4 linked regions of the Arabidopsis thaliana genome follow. The main gene of each other region encodes a partner of the protein of the gene in region 2 in a complex. Each region holds a gene or a part of one and is shown on either strand. Other genes may lie near its edges.

The links.
Region 1: PnsB5 (region 2) and NdhM share a complex: the UniProt entries of both Arabidopsis thaliana proteins name them as parts of the chloroplast NDH complex.
Region 3: PnsB5 (region 2) and NdhN share a complex: the UniProt entries of both Arabidopsis thaliana proteins name them as parts of the chloroplast NDH complex.
Region 4: PnsB5 (region 2) and PnsB4 share a complex: the UniProt entries of both Arabidopsis thaliana proteins name them as parts of the chloroplast NDH complex.

What each region holds. Positions count from the first base shown.
Region 1 is NC_003075.7:17,829,992-17,833,679, reverse strand, and holds NdhM (subunit NDH-M of NAD(P)H:plastoquinone dehydrogenase complex), read left to right. Parts: upstream 1-2,060; 5' UTR 2,061-2,194; coding exon 2,195-2,647; intron 2,648-2,731; coding exon 2,732-2,932; 3' UTR 2,933-3,147; downstream 3,148-3,688. Other genes in the region: SHM1 (serine transhydroxymethyltransferase 1), read left to right, coding at 1-41, 126-218, 306-398, 477-674, 762-866, 948-1,013, 1,096-1,173, 1,254-1,365 and 2 more; AT4G37920 (endoribonuclease E-like protein), read left to right, coding at 3,363-3,546. UniProt on the Arabidopsis thaliana protein: NDH shuttles electrons from NAD(P)H:plastoquinone, via FMN and iron-sulfur (Fe-S) centers, to quinones in the photosynthetic chain and possibly in a chloroplast respiratory chain.
Region 2 is NC_003076.8:17,579,015-17,582,955, forward strand, and holds PnsB5 (NAD(P)H dehydrogenase 18), read right to left. Parts: upstream 2,262-3,941; 5' UTR 2,132-2,261; coding exon 1,910-2,131; intron 1,835-1,909; coding exon 1,771-1,834; intron 1,665-1,770; coding exon 1,602-1,664; intron 1,523-1,601; coding exon 1,464-1,522; intron 1,317-1,463; coding exon 1,086-1,316; 3' UTR 853-1,085; downstream 1-852. UniProt on the Arabidopsis thaliana protein: NDH shuttles electrons from NAD(P)H:plastoquinone, via FMN and iron-sulfur (Fe-S) centers, to quinones in the photosynthetic chain and possibly in a chloroplast respiratory chain.
Region 3 is NC_003076.8:23,559,753-23,563,869, reverse strand, and holds NdhN (oxidoreductases, acting on NADH or NADPH, quinone or similar compound as acceptor), read left to right. Parts: upstream 1-1,868; 5' UTR 1,869-1,940; coding exon 1,941-2,309; intron 2,310-2,391; coding exon 2,392-2,508; coding exon of another isoform or gene 2,509-2,514; exon of another isoform or gene 2,515-2,573; coding exon 2,574-2,659; intron 2,660-2,737; coding exon 2,738-2,795; 3' UTR 2,796-3,302; downstream 3,303-4,117. Other genes in the region: ABCB25 (ABC transporter of the mitochondrion 3), read right to left, coding at 1-12, 337-444, 591-693, 791-834, 915-976, 1,054-1,702; EMB3143 (YCF54), read right to left, coding at 3,498-3,690, 3,791-4,023, 4,103-4,117. UniProt on the Arabidopsis thaliana protein: NDH shuttles electrons from NAD(P)H:plastoquinone, via FMN and iron-sulfur (Fe-S) centers, to quinones in the photosynthetic chain and possibly in a chloroplast respiratory chain.
Region 4 is NC_003070.9:6,458,440-6,462,993, forward strand, and holds PnsB4 (NDH dependent flow 6), read left to right. Parts: upstream 1-1,963; 5' UTR 1,964-2,185; coding exon 2,186-2,251; intron 2,252-2,327; coding exon 2,328-2,369; intron 2,370-2,404; exon of another isoform or gene 2,405-2,456; coding exon 2,457-2,634; intron 2,635-2,734; coding exon 2,735-2,790; intron 2,791-2,878; coding exon 2,879-2,950; coding exon of another isoform or gene 2,951-3,025; exon of another isoform or gene 3,026-3,404; coding exon of another isoform or gene 3,405-3,410; exon of another isoform or gene 3,411-3,554; coding exon 3,555-3,668; 3' UTR 3,669-3,905; downstream 3,906-4,554. Other genes in the region: AT1G18720 (ER membrane protein, putative (DUF962)), read right to left, coding at 12-74, 857-1,219. UniProt on the Arabidopsis thaliana protein: NDH shuttles electrons from NAD(P)H:plastoquinone, via FMN and iron-sulfur (Fe-S) centers, to quinones in the photosynthetic chain and possibly in a chloroplast respiratory chain.

The sequences.
Region 1 (3,688 bases), on a different chromosome or scaffold from region 2:
TTGATCTTCCTCATGGTGGTCATCTTTCTCATGGTTATCAGGTGCCTTCAAGTTAACTTTGTATGTCATTTCGGAACTCTCTGACTCTGATGAATAACAGTTTCTTTCTTCTTATTTCTCATCAGACTGACACCAAGAAGATATCAGCTGTGTCTATCTTCTTTGAAACAATGCCCTATAGATTGGACGAGAGCACTGGCTACATCGACTACGATCAGGTTCTTAACTCTTCTATTAAGCAATCATAGTAACTTATAACTAACCCGCTTCATAACAATACATAAGTCTTTAATTTTGATTTGCAGATGGAGAAAAGTGCTACTCTTTTCAGGCCAAAATTGATTGTTGCTGGTGCAAGTGCTTATGCTAGATTGTATGACTATGCCCGCATCAGAAAGGTAATTTCAGTCTCATATCCAACTACAGAACAGATTATTGTAATCAGTAGTGAGTTTTGATTCGAACTCTTTTCCCAGGTCTGTAACAAGCAAAAAGCTGTAATGCTAGCAGATATGGCACACATCAGTGGTTTGGTTGCTGCTAATGTAATCCCTTCACCGTTCGACTATGCTGATGTTGTAACCACCACAACTCACAAGTCACTTCGTGGACCCCGTGGAGCCATGATTTTCTTCAGAAAGGGTGTTAAGGAAATTAACAAGCAAGGGAAAGAGGTAAAAAAGAAAAAGAAGCAAAATTTGAACCAAAATGTTTTAGATTTATGTATAATCTTTCACGTCATTCATTTGTTGTCTTGAAAGGTTTTGTATGATTTTGAAGACAAGATCAACCAAGCTGTCTTCCCTGGTCTTCAAGGTGGTCCACACAACCACACTATCACAGGACTAGCTGTTGCTTTGAAACAGGTACGGTGAGGCACGGAATGGAACTAACGTTGCTTATTGGATTTGCGGTTTCTGTAACCTTCAAATGGTTTGAAAATGCAGGCAACTACTTCAGAGTACAAAGCATACCAAGAACAAGTCCTGAGTAACAGTGCAAAGTTTGCTCAGGTACTAATCCCGTGAAGGAAAGAAAAACACATATGGCGTAGTATCTACTTTGATTATATCTCTACATTGTTGTTTCGTGCAGACTCTAATGGAGAGAGGATATGAACTTGTTTCTGGTGGAACTGACAACCATCTGGTTCTAGTGAATCTAAAGCCCAAGGTCACTTGATCTTTTTTTGTATATAATCTTCTTTTATATTTCTTAGTTAAAACTCATTTTTTATTCGATTTTGTTTGCAGGGAATTGATGGATCTAGAGTTGAGAAAGTGTTGGAAGCTGTTCACATTGCATCCAACAAAAACACTGTTCCTGGAGATGTTTCTGCCATGGTTCCTGGTGGAATCAGAATGGGTAAAAATCACATTTAACCATTTTTCTTTTTGGTATTCGAATGGAGTTCTTCTTGATATCCTCTGCCATTGTTATTTTCAGGTACTCCTGCTCTCACTTCCAGAGGCTTTGTTGAGGAAGACTTTGCCAAAGTAGCTGAATACTTCGACAAAGCTGTGACAATAGCTCTCAAAGTCAAATCTGAAGCTCAAGGTTTTTACTTCTCTGATCACGATGCTATGCTTTCCGTTCTTATATACAATGATTGAACTCATTTGTTATGTTTCTAAAACCAGGAACCAAGTTGAAGGATTTCGTGTCAGCAATGGAATCCTCTTCAACCATCCAATCCGAGATTGCGAAACTGCGCCATGAAGTCGAGGAATTCGCTAAGCAGTTCCCAACAATTGGGTTTGAGAAAGAAACCATGAAGTACAAGAACTAAACTGTTTCACCCCACAAGTGTTTTCTGTTATGCTTTGAATTCCCATGGAATGTATAGATGATACATGTAAAACTCTATTTTCACGCTATGCGAAAAATAATGATCTGTTAAATTTTCTCTCTATACATCAAAAAGAAATATACTTAGACAAAAAAAACACATACAACAAAACAGTGAATTCCCTAAAGAAGATTGTCTTTAGCTCACAAGTGACTTAAGAGTAACCACAAAATACCAACAAAACGAGAAAGGGATAAATAAGAAACTAGAAGTTGGGAGAGGCTCATCCACAAGCTGTGGTCATTTCTCAACCTCATCAAATCTCTTTACAAGAATATGGTTCTGTAACCGGACAACATCTCAAAACTTGTTCTGTTTTTTTTTTTTCATTTCTTAGACAGAAAAATGGTTGCAGCATTCTCTTACACTGCCTGCACCAAGCTTTCTCTATTACATCCTTCTATGGTTGCTCAAATCCGACCAAGAACAACACAAAAGGCGTTCGTGGTGACAAATCCGGAACAAGACAGTACTCTTGAAGTACAAGAAACAGAGACACTCAAAGAAGAGCAATCAACAGAGAAGATGAAGAAGCAGCCAACACCATTGAGACCAGTGGAGAAACAGCTGAACGTGAAGAGCAAGGGTATGGGCGATTTTGGTGGTCAGTGGCTAAGCAGTGTCACACGTCACGTTAGGATCTACGCTGCTTATATTGATCCAGAGACTTGTGAGTTTGACCAGTCACAAATGGATAAACTCACTTTGATTCTTGATCCTACTGAAGAATTTGTGTGGGATGATGAAAGCTGTAACAAGGTCTATTCTTATTTCCAAGAACTCGTCGATCACTACGAGGTAACGATAACAATAAACGAACGAAACATTCATCTAAAAGTTAGACTCATTTCAAGAAGACCTTATAATATTGTTTTTGAACAGGGAGCACCATTAACGGAGTACACATTGAGATTGATAGGATCGGACGTAGAACATTACATAAGGAAGATGTTGTTCGATGGAGAAATACAATACAATATGGATGCAAGAGTTCTTAATTTCAGTATGGGAAAGCCTCGTGTACAATTCAATACCAGTAACATTGAAGGTGGTGGAGATGGTCAGCCTCAAGAGGACGCTTAGTGAAACAAACTCTATTTTATAATCATGTAATGGGAATATAAATATATTGTAGTATGCTTTTTAATTTTGTCTATCACAAAGTAACATATGTATATATCATGACATATGCTATAATTATTTTTGTAATAATCAATCTTAAGTTTCTTTGTCTTTTCTTGTTAATGTAAGGTCTTAAGGTCATGTGAATATGTAATGTCAAAGAAACTCAATTCTGGTCTTGCTCATTCATGTTCCTTACTCCTTGCCTCTTTTTAAAAAGATTTCAAACTGATGCAAAACTTGTTAGTTTTAACATTTTTACCCAAAAAGTTATATTAAGTTTTTGAATTTGTCAACGTTTACTAATTATTTACAATTAAAACCCTGTTCTTCTTATCCTCTGGTGTTTCTCGTTGTTCGTCACCAAGACGAACTTTGTGAGGGAGAAAAAATGGCGAATTTACTGGAAACATCAATCTTTTTCTCCTCTGCTGATAAATTACTGTCTTTCCCGCCTAAGAATTCTCAAACCCATCATCTCCCTTTCTCTGCTTTCATCAATGGAGGAAGAAAGATACGCAAAAGCTCAACTATCACCTTTGCTACCGACACTGTCACTTACAATGGCACTACAAGTAAGCTCATAAACCCTAAATCTCTAATCTTTCTGTCTAATTACCAATAAATTCTATTTCTTTAGATTCCAATTTGTATTAATTGTCACCATTAGATAAGCTAAACCCTTTTCATAGACTAGGATTCGTCTAGTTAGAGAAG
Region 2 (3,941 bases):
TATAATCAAGTTAGACAATTTTCAAATCATGCAAAACACGATCATTTTTCTAATATTGATATATGCAATGACAGAAGATCTAAAAGTGTTGACTTAAATGACATTTAGTTTTTGCTATCTTTTTATTTTCTTCATACCCCTTTTTCATACGAATACTCTTCAGATCTTGTTCAGTTGAAGTCAATCAAAACTTTAATCATGAGCTTATCACAATGTTGTTGAAGTACATAAAACAAAGAATTGATTTATTTATAATCGAGTAAGATAAATTTTAAACCACACAAGTAACATGGTTACACATAATTGTATCAAAATATCATATATTGTTGTTATATGTATTTTTGATAGTGAACAAATATTAACATCTTATAAATAGCTTTATACATGAAAATTAGAAATTGATATTTCGAGTTACAAATGAATCTAACCATAAAAATTGTAAATAATATGGATCTAATTTCATTAACAATACAAAAATAAACATAAATTAGCAAAACTAACAATCAATCTAAATATTTTTTAACAATTTTCAAAACAAACCCACGCGTAGCGTGGGTACTCATCTAGTATCATAGTAAAAACTGGTATGGAACTTACGAATAGTTTGCACAATATTAAAGAAAGTGTCAGAGATACGTTAAAGCATTTTCTTGTAGAGAGACTAGGGATTAGGAGTGGAGCTGGTTTGTCACTTGATGTTCCAACTCGATAGAACTCGAAGGTGTGTTTAGCTCCTCGGACTCTTCCACAATACTGGAACACTATATTGTTGTGTTTGGACCAGGGGATGAAGTTAGCGTGTGGCATACGTCAACCTCAAATTGTATGGTTTATCCACCATTGTATGAACTAATGATGGGTATGGAAACTCGTTGGGTCCATACGAGGTACTTAGATCTTAAAAAAACATATAGTGAAGAACAGAAACCTAACACTACAAGATGAGAATCTAGGTTTTATGGTACTAAAGAAAAATAAGAGAATGAACAATCAATATTATACACATTGTACCCCGTTCATTCATCAATTTTATAAAACAGTTTACATCAAAAGTCATGATTATAACGAGATCACAATCCATTATCTTATCGTGTGGCGATATCATCTTTCTCAATGGTGAAATCCCATACATCACCATATTTGTCATTAAAGTCCCAAATGCTCATTGTGTTGTAGTCATTAATGAGCTTGTCACGAGCTCCTCTCTCCAATTTGTATATCTGAGGCTCGAAGTTGTGTGGCTGGTCAGGTTTATCCATCTCTATTATACAGAACACTACCGTGAATAACGCTGCACCTATGAACAAGTACTCACCCTGCAACACACACACACAAACACTGGTGATTCTTTTTCTTCTCATACTTGGCTTAATTATCTAATCTCTTGTACGTCCTCCACAAAACAAAAGCGATAAAACTAGTAATGATAAATTTTGGAAGCAAGCAAAAGATTTTGAAGTTACCGGAGCATCAAAATACATCCCAAGAGCTATAGCAGGAAGAAACATACAAGAGATCAAACCTGCAGACATAAAAAAACCGCGAGTTTTCAATCAATCTGCGGTACATAAAAAGCACTAAAAAGCGGGTTAAATTCATACCTTGAAACCCATTAGTTTGATCCACAGCAGCAATGTCATCAGCAATTGCTCCCCAAAATGTTCCTAAGAAACATTTCCAAGAAGACTAATCAATCAATCAAACAAAGAAATATTATAGCTCTAAAATCGAAACAGCGACAAGAATCAATAGGAGAAACCAAAATTATACCCTTTTGAACTTCTCCTTCATAGTAAGTATGAGCTCCATCGTAATATCCATACTTGAAATCTTCCTATTAACAAAAGCGCTAACCAATCAGAAACAACTTTCAGCAGAATTATGAATTTAAAATCAATTGAATCTTTACCATTTCAATGCTATTAGTCTCGAATTGACCAATCGGGTCTTCGTTGATGTCTGGTTCGATCTGTGACAATCCAGCCGCTGAGACCAGCTTCGCTAACTTCAATCTCCGGCCGGATTTGCCGCATTTTACGACATTGACGATCTGATCAGAAACCCTAGCTCCGAATTTGGAATCAGTGACCTTTGGAATCGATTTGGGTGAGAGAATCGTGACCGTTGCCATTTTTTCACTCACTTTATCTTTTTCTTGCTCTGTCTCAGAGTTTTGGAGCCATAGAAAGAAAAAACGGTTCTTTTTTTTTTTGTGTGTTCGTTAGCGAAAGAGATTAGTAGTTTACTGGTTACTGTCTGTCATATTACCAAAGTGACTGACAAGTTCGTAAGCGTCACGTGGAACGTATTCATTTGATTGTCTTCTCTAGTTGGTTAGTGAACGCTTACATCGCGTGAAGACTATTGAAACGGCCCAACTTTGTCTTTGCTGAAATCAACAATATATATTAAGCCCAATTTGATTTACGTGACAATTGCTTAATTATTAAATTCAACCCAATATTTTCCTATATCCAGTTAAATGTAAAATTCAGTTCAGGTTAAACATCATAATACTTTGCATATTTTTAATAAGGAAAAAGCAAAACAAAAAAATAATGTATTAGCCGATTTATCGAATGCCTAAACAAGAAAGATCAATAACATTCTATGGACCAATTTGTTGAATCGTACAAAATGGTTTTGTTTGTCTAGACGCCTAAACAACCTGTTTTTAGAACTTTGTAAAGGATCTATGTAGTTGGCTTTGCTATGTTCGAATTAGTAACAAGGTCAAGGCACTTCATTGATTTAGGAGACAATGACATAAGAATCATAAAGAAATGATTCCCAACTGCAACTAATAAAGGCTGGAGTGGTTGGAGAGTAGGGTAAATTAAATGCTTTGCTCTTTCTTTGATTAATGGTTACCAATATCATGTCATGTTCTAGGGTAAAATTATTATAAACCAATTTCTCTATCATTTTACTAATGAATAGAATATCAATTTATCTCAACTACTTAGAATCAAATCTCACCCAAATTTAAACGCAACAAATATAAATTAAGATTTGGGGTTTAGGTGGATGGATTGCTACGAAGTACAAACATTTTTGATGTGGAAACTAGAATAACAAATAAAAGTCGGCCAAATTTTCAACGACAAATACATTAATGTTTTAATTTATGGACTATTGCGGTTAGGTACTTGTTATCCACTTATCTTCTTAATTCATCGAAGATATTAGCTTAATGATTTGTAATCCATGTGACATGCACTTACACATGTAGTGTTTATTGAATTATTATTATTTTTTTGTTGAAAGGTTTAGTGTCTAATGAAATGCAAATATATATTTGATTCCGATAGTTGAAATCAACACTAGTTAAGCTCCTTTTTTCTTCAATATTATCTATAGAAAATATGTACCATAATTTGCTTGAAGAATTTGAGATATCTTACCGATATAACTAAAGGTGCAGAGAGATTAAAAATCATAATTCATTTTGGAAATATTTTTTTTCTAAAGAACTCATTTTGGAACACACTTTTCTACCAACTACGAAAAAAAATTCAAACTGGTTTTGTTTATTTAAGATTTAAGAATGACTTGAAAAGGTAGAATTTGTAAAACCAATGAAGAAGAAAGAATTGTGGAGTGGTAGAGAATGGTTTCTTCAAACTTCTAAGAATAATTGTTGAACGTAATTGCTTCGTTTGGTAGGAATTTTCTTAGCAATTAGAATCAGTTCTATGTTATATAACAAACATATATTTTTGCATTACTTACCACACAAACTCTCCCCAAATTGTGTGTTGACACATACCAAATGATGATATAAATACAAAACTTATCACGCACGCGTTAAAGATTCACACGCATGTTATTGACTTGTGAAAATCTCACAAGTAGTTAGTACACATGAAACGATAGTTTAGTTTTGGGTTATGAACTTATGATATGAGTTAATGGCATCATTTTTTTTTTTTTTTTTTTAA
Region 3 (4,117 bases), 6.0 Mb from region 2:
CTTGGTTCGCCACTGGATAAAATAAATAAAACCGTGAGCAAAGCGTTTGACACCAAAAAGATTTGTAACAAGATAATGAAAGTTGAAGAGAATGTATGAAGACAACTATCCTTCTATACATCATCAAACCTAATATCACAACTAGAATGATTTAAGCCGATCCAAAGAGTTGATACAGTTAAGATTAGAGAAGCTTAGTAACGAATTCCAGAACAATGTATACTATAGTAGTTTCTTAAATAAAATATCACAGTTATTGCTGGATTATCATGATAATAACGCAAGTATTGCATTATAGTTGGCATTGAAAAGAGAATACCGAAAAAGGCACAGTACCTGTGTCACAGCTAATGTGAAAACGATATATGATCCAACGGAGAGAGAAGTAATCCAGGCAAAAGCAGCTCCAAACTTGTATGCCAGTATACCTGATACCATAGATATCTGAAAGATACATATTAATTACGTCGAGTGTTTTTAGAGACGAATGAATAGTGAAATCCAAATATGAATGAGCAACTGCCAATTATTCAAAATGAGAAAAAAAACAATGATCATGAGAAAGCACCAAGTGGTCAGACAAGCTTTACCTCCAATATGGTAGGAACAACATTGAAAACCATAGCTGAGAGGATAAAATTTATTGCACGGCTACCACGATCAATAATCCTGTTCAAGCCGCCTGTTTCTCGACTGGACATAAGCAATTAAGTAAGGAAGTTATGATGAGATGAATCTAAGATGGAATGAGCGAGACTACTCACAAGAGTAAGAGAGGAGAGATAGATACCTTAGGTGGTAACGAAGGTCAAGATCATGTAAATGTGAGAACACCTGCAAAGCGACCATATGAAATTGATTCATACATTAAAATATCTCTATCGACAAGATAGTTTAGAGCAGCAGCAGCATACCTTTCTAGAAACAGATCGTATTGTTCGGAGAGCTACCTTAGAGAACACAGCAGTACGAAGTTCTGCGATGATGAAAAGTAACAACCAAGAGTGAAAAGTGCATTCTTTTTTAAAGAAAACTAGAGCTATTGAGAGTTACCATTAAAAGCAGAAGAACCCGTCCGAGCAATCCCGTATCCAATGAGAACAGCAGCAGGAGTAGCAAAAACAGTAAGAAGAGTTGGGTTTGTAGCAGCGAAGGTGGTAAGTGAGGCTCCAGTACCGGTAGCTGAAGCAAGCCAATCAACAGCTAATTTGAAGAGGAAAGGGACTTGGACATTCAAGACCTTAGCACCCACGAGAAAACCCAAAGCAGCGATGACCCTGAAACGGAATTCTGGATTGTCTCTCATCCACAAATAGCCAGCAAGCGTACGGAGAATCTTCATGTCAGCCATAGCTGAGTCTGAATCCGACGAGGTTGTCTTGATTTCCTTAGTCTTGGTGGTGGTTTGGTCTGGATTGGGAGTAGAAGTCGAGAAGAGACGACCATTAAGCATTGAACTCCGTTGAACAAAACGAATTGGGGATGGTGATGGTGACGGGGATGGTGAGTTATCTGAGAGGAAGGCATTGATAACCGGAGATGTTCGAATTGAGTTACGTCTGATGTAATTGGAGAAACCATTATGAAGACGATAATCAGAGCGAAGACTGTAGGAAAAAGATGGGATTTTGGGTTGAGGTTGAAGATTAACGCGACAGAGTAAGAGCCCAGGAGCCCTAACGAATCGAGATCCTCTCGACATCCCTTCTTCTCCGAAAGTTTCACAGACTGAATTTTGCTCCGGCGAGCTAGCTAACAATGTCACGACGTTCGGCGGTGCTTAATGGGCCTAATAAATAAAGCCCAATACATTTTAAGCCCATTAATGTCTATCCCTTTGTGGAGTGAGTCGTCGTTTCTCCACCATTCTTTCATCATCATCGTCGTCAAGCAATGTTTATTATGAGCTACTTCCACAAGAAGTCATTGTTAGTAAAGAAATGGGAAGCCGTGCAATATGTATACAACGTGTGGCACCACCGTGTTTTGAAGCCTCGCAAGTGAAGAAGATCAAAACAGTTGGTTCCTTTTTGGTGAATACTAGGAGTAAGAGAAGAAGAAGCACTGGTGTGAAATGTAGCAGCATAGCTGACTACATCGGAGGTGACTTGGTGAAGCCGGACATCGGACAATGGCTTCAAGACGTGGAAGAACACAAGGCAATCGCCATTTACGCTCCTCATGAGGGTGGTTACGAAGGTCGTTATCTTAACCGTCTCAAAATGCAGGGCTACTACTTTCTTGACATCTCTGCTCGTGGCCTTGGTGACCCTGAGACTACCCTTCTCAAGAACTACCCTGTTTGCCCTGTATGTCTACTTTCATCCATCTTCTACTTTAATCTTGTTTCAATATAATTTTGTGTGAACCATGTATCTTCTCTTCTTTTAGGCTCATCTTGGGAAACAACCTATAGCAAGATGGTATTATCCACCAGAAGTTGATTACAGGCTCGCTGCTCTTCCCCCTAGTGCCAAGGGTCTTGTTGTATGGGTCCTCGAAGCAAAGGTTTGAGTTTCTCTCATTTGATCTGTTCTCCCACATGCTCTTTCTCATATTTCCATTTCACTCAGGTCCTCTCAAAATCGGAGCTTCAATTTCTCGCTTTACTTCCCTCTCTTCGTCCTAACGTCAGGGTTATTGCTGAATGTGGCAACTGGTGAGTATATCATTCCTTACCATACACACTAATCATCTATGTTTGCAATTTGCATGACCATTACCAATTCCCCTGCAGGAGAAAGTTCGTGTGGAAGCCTCTAGCAGAAATTGCAAATCTAGCTGCACAAGAGTAACTTAATGGCACAAGTGGAGCTACCAGTGTATAGTTTTTCATGAATGCATCTCCCGCAAGTGTAGCAATACTCATCCCATAGTAAAAGTTAAAATCTGTATTTGTAACTTGGTAGTATATTCCCATGGAGTAGTTAAAGATAATTTCTGACTCTGCTTTGTCACAAATAAAAGTATGTATAATCAGTAAGATTGATAGGACACGCTTAGATACAGACTACAGAGCAATCCAGAAGTACAACATAGAACACTTGATTCAGCAGAAACATGTGCAACTTACTTTGATCAACTCCAGTCACTAGACCTAACGAGTAACAACATGTTCCGAGTCCACAAATCGTTTTGAAAACCAAAAAATTCAGATCTTTTGCAAAGTTCTTCAGCGAGTAGGCATATTGCCCTCCTGTGACTAGACAACTTAATACCTAGAGCTTTAACTGAAGGTTCTTGCCAATATTCTCGTGAGAAATCAACAAATATGGTCACCCTTAAGACTTTGATGGAGCTAAATGTGAGGATGCTTTTTGTTGTCTAGTTCTATGCTTAACCTTGAGTCAGTGACGTATCAAACAGGCAACTTTGAGTAATAGAAGCTACACTAGGAAAGATATAGACTTGGATAATGAGCTCAGTAGTACAAAACTTTGAAGCACTAAGACAAAGCTGAGATTGGAGAATGCAAAAACAAGACAAAAAGCAAAGTTCTATACTGCAGATTCTTGGGTTACTTTAGGCAAGAAGGTATCCCACCATCCAGGTTCATACTTGGGGTATGGCGCCACCCAATTTTTAGGCTTATCGAACTCAAGAGTGGTAGGATTGGAGGCCAAAGCTTCATCAAGAGAGGTAGCTTCAAAGGAATCATACAGAACACGATCCAATCTTAACTTCATAAACCTGCCATAAAACAACAAATTGCAAAACACAAATGCGTTAGATAAGGAGGGAGTGAGGAACGTAATTTTGAAAAGAGAGAGATTGGGATTAGGGTTCTAACGTGATCCAGGTGCCATTGGTGGAAACAAGAGCAACAGCAGGACGACGAAGTCTTTGAGTAATTTTGGGGAAATTGTCAAGGAATTTAGGCTCAATGACAAGCCAGAAGTCTTGCACTAATTCACGCTCACCGAAGTAACGGAGACGTTCAAACAATTGCTCCTGGAAGTGCTCCTCTTCGTCAAGCATGAATTTAGCGTTTGCTACCAGGAAATGGTACTTGGTGCTCTCTCCCTGCAATCATCCAGAAAACGTAAGCTGTTTGGTTTGATTGGTCAAGAGGAAAAGAGAGAGAGAGAAAGAAAAGAGAAACCTTGTTAACAGAAGA
Region 4 (4,554 bases), on a different chromosome or scaffold from region 2:
AGAGAACTTACCTCGAATACTCCATGGCCAACGAACTGCCCGGTCCAACATAACAGCTGAGATGCTAACCCAACCTGAGTAAAAAGACAATTAAATTGTTACAGTATCTACATAACAGAGAGAGTTGGCGTCTTGGTGAGTATTAACTGTTTTCCCCTTGCTGTTGAATACATATAACAAACTAATCAAATGATTCAGACTGAAGATACATATAAACTAATCAAATGATTCACAACACAGAAGATACATAAAAAAGCTCCTAAGTTACAGATGTCTCAAATACTATGGAAGAAAAACCAAACTTTAGTTAAACAAGTGATGTAGATTCTAATTATCTGAGACCATCCAAATGTTGGTGGTCAAGAACAACACTTGTTTCCGTCCAAGCACACATCAAATCCTCTTAACCAATGAGTCAACAACACTAAAAACATGACAAGTCTCCGGACCAAAGAATCAGAACCGTGCAAAGGTGGACAATTGCAGAACAAACTGCAATAACTACTAATCATGAATGTTCAAAGCTAGAGACATGATATTAGTACTGCTGTCTCAACGTTAACAGCTAATGAAGGGACCCATAGACAACAGATAGAGAGGACTAATGATATAAATAAATCTATTTCTTCTTCCCCGAGCATAACCAATGATATAAACGAACTTTCAAGTCAAAGCATAGAAAACAATGAACAATAAATGCATGAACCACACTCACATCATATAAATATACACATAGAGCAACACATGGATACACATAGTCATATACCCTCATAAACATGCTTCTACGCAATTATTTTCTCCAAAAATGAAGTTTTTTCAAAAACCCTAAATTGAAATTAGAGAAAAAAAATCTAACCTTTAAGGCAAGAGAAGATCCTAGTCGAACAGCAAGAAAACTGGAACCAACCCAGCAAGAGAAACACATAAGAGCAGCTACAAATCCAGATTTCTTATCCAAACCGATATAGAACAGAGCATAAATCAAGGCGAATATAAACCCAACGTTAAATCGCAAAACGCCGTCGAGGGTCAACGATTGAGAAAACCCTAATTGAGAGGGGTCGAAAATTGGGGTCGACGAGTGGAGGAGAAGTAAAACTGAGAAGAAGATTGGCCAAACGAAGATGATGTGGATTAGAATGTTGATCGGATTGCTATGGTAAGCACCGTAGAAGGCGAAGTGTTTCTCGAGATCGAACAATCCCATTATGCGACTCATGGATAAAAAATTCGTTGAGGAAGAGGTGTTTTTATGAGGAGAAGATCGGTGGAAATTGGATAATAGTCACCAAACAGAGGAGATTAAAGATATACACGGGAAGAAGACGAAAGTGGAAAGTTTGATTAGCAATTTCCCGAAAATGATGCTAACGTGCGCTTTTTAATAGCTAACATGCGCTTTTTAAAGCGATAGAAGTTGACTTGGCCGGAGATTTTCTTCCGACTTTTGACAAAATACTAGTCGCTAAGAAGAGTAGACGTGTTATTGTGATTGCTAACATGCGCGAATAAAAGCTGGTTTAGATGGATATACATCATTGAAAGTTTGGCAAATAGAACATACACTATTCAACGAATGATGTATTTGGGATGATTGCTAACATGCGCGCATAGGAAGTTGAATTAGATGGAAATATCATTAAAAGTTTGGCAATAGTTGCCAACGTACGCTATTCAACAAATGATGTATTTGGGAAGAGACATAAGCGGAAAGTTTGAATTTCACCAACCAAAGATTTATTAGCAATTTTAGTGTGGTTACTAACTTGCACGTCTAGAGGAGTGAACGTGTTTAGTGATTGCTAACCTGCGCGAATGGAAAGTTTGTTGGACGGGTAAAATACGAAAGTTTGTAGTTGAATTTTGCTGGAAATATCTTTACCACTCTTTAAGGCAAATAGTTGTTCCCAACCTGAGCGTTTTAGAAGGCTAAAATGTGTACTGTGATTGTCTAAATTGGGCTTTTAAAAGACAAAAAAAGTGTTATGCGATGTGATTGCTAACGTACGTTATTTTTTTATTTTGTTTATCACAAAAGTGAAGAGTGGACGATACCAATTCCCTTATCCACACATTTTCTGCCTCAAAAAATCTAATCTTAAAGATTAAAATAAATGAAAAAATAAAAAAGATTACACCAACATTTTTTTTTTTTCTTCTCCATTGCCACCATCAAGAAGTAACAATGGCTGAAGCTTTCACAAGTTTCACCTTCACAAATCTTCATATTCCTTCTTCCTACAATCACTCGGTACATATTATTTTATATTCTTACCAAAAATATTTCATTACGAAAAAAAGTTTAAGAATTGTGTATTGTGTTGTAGCCGAAGCAGAATTCAGGACCGAATCATGGATATTGGCTATCTGTAAGTAATTTTCTCTAACTAAGACTAAAATTAGAAAAAAAATCTCCATATTCTTGTGAATTTACGTCTTAGAATTTGAAAAATTAGAAGAATGTTAATGAGAAGAGGGAAAGGAATTTGATGAGAGGAAGCTTATGTGTAAGAAAGGCATTGCCACATGATTTGCCATTAATGGCTGTGATGGTTCAACAAATAGAAGGAATGCGTGATATCATTACAGAGAAACACGTGTGGCATCTAAGTGATAAAGCTATCAAGAATGTTTGTAAGTTAAACACTTGGGGTTTCTTGAGAGATTTTATTTTCTTTCTTAGACTTTTTTTTCTTCTTTTTCTTATGTTTTGATATTGATCTTGATATGGCAGATATGTTCTACATCATGTTCACTTGTTGGGGATGTTTGTACTTCGGTTCAGCAAAAGTATGAAAACAACAACTCAAACTGAATCTTTTGATACATTTGCTGCATTGGGATCTTAATAGTACTTTGTGATATTGGATCAATACAGGATCCATTCTACGACTCAGAGGAGTACCGTGGAGATGGAGGGGATGGAACTGGATATTGGGTCTATGAAACTGTATGTATCTCTCCCTTTCTAATACTATTAGGAAAGAAAGAAAAAAACTTAGAAATGCATACAAATTATAACTAGGGATGTTGCAATGGACCGACCAACCCGCTGTGGTCTTACTAGACCCTGTGGACCAGTTCAGATCTAGTTTGACCTCAGACTATCCCACCTTGGTCTTAGTAGGCCATGTAGACCTGTTCAGAGCCGGTTTTGAGTACTCCTCCATGTGTCTCAGCATGCGATAAACCTCCCTAAACAAAGAAAAATAGGTGGCTTTTAGGTTAGCGTTTACCGTTGGTATATATGCACCCAAAAATATGAATCCACAACCTTGATCATCTAAACGAAAGTCACAATCTGATAGATGGTAGGTAACATTGATCCATCCTATTGATAGATCAATCATGCTTAGTAAGTTTGAGCCGGGTTGGGCTTGATATAATAATTCAAACGTTAACAGATCTGATGGTAGGTAACATTGATCCTAAGTTGGGTCGGGCTGGGCTTGCTCGGGCCATTGACCTTTGGTATATCATCACAGATTCACAATGTGTACAACTATTATAAGATTGGATAGAGTTGTTATTGTGTTTTGGGTTATATGATGCAGCAAGAAGACATAGAAGAGAAAGCAAGAGCGGAGCTATGGCGTGAAGAACTTATCGAAGAAATTGAACAGAAGGTTGGTGGCTTAAGAGAGCTTGAAGAAGCTGTTACTAAGTAGAAAACTAACTTGTGAATCATAAACCACTTTACATACACATTATATATTTTCTTATATCAGTCATGCAACATTATATATACTCTCTAGCTTCCATATATATAATATATGTTATGTACTTCTTTGTTGTCTTGTGTTCTGAATCATTGAACGATCATGTTAGGAGCAATTGTCTCCTTCAGAAATTTATTGTTGACGACATCCGATGTCTTAAAAATATAAATAATTATGTTTGGTAAACTATCTTAATTTGCTTTTCTTGATTTCTTCGGTCGCAAGTTGGTCAGAGTGAATATTTATTATTTTTAAGTATAAAAAATTTAGTCAATTGGGGCTAAATTAATTGGTCGTATAGACTGGAAAGTGAGTCTGATGAGGAACAATTAGCGGGAAATACGCTTCTGCACGATTCTACCTGACAAAAACCAAAACTAATCAATCTTTAAAAACAAAAAATAAGTTAGCAGAGGTGAAGAAGGAGAGCTTGTCATGTCTTTGTCAGTAACCTTCGTGCTTCCATGTTTCAAAGCCTCTTCGAGCTTGTAATTGTAAACCACACGTGTGGTTTATTGTTTTTGTTTTCTTTTCAAATTTAAGTTTAATTTTCAGATATTTCTTTTTTTTGTGTGTGTGTTAGGAACACATGACAGGAGATATGATGTAACATTTTTATTTAAACAAAAAAAAGATCTGCATCACTGCATGTAGTGTATTTTGTCGTGTGTCAATTAATTCTTATAGTTGTACAATTTTAATTCTGGCCCAAACATGATTGATGACTTGTTAATGACACATATTTACCATATTCCATTATAATTATTTTTTTTCATTATACAGTTTCATAATAATACATTTCAATTTTCGGTTACCAAAAAACACCATTACACAT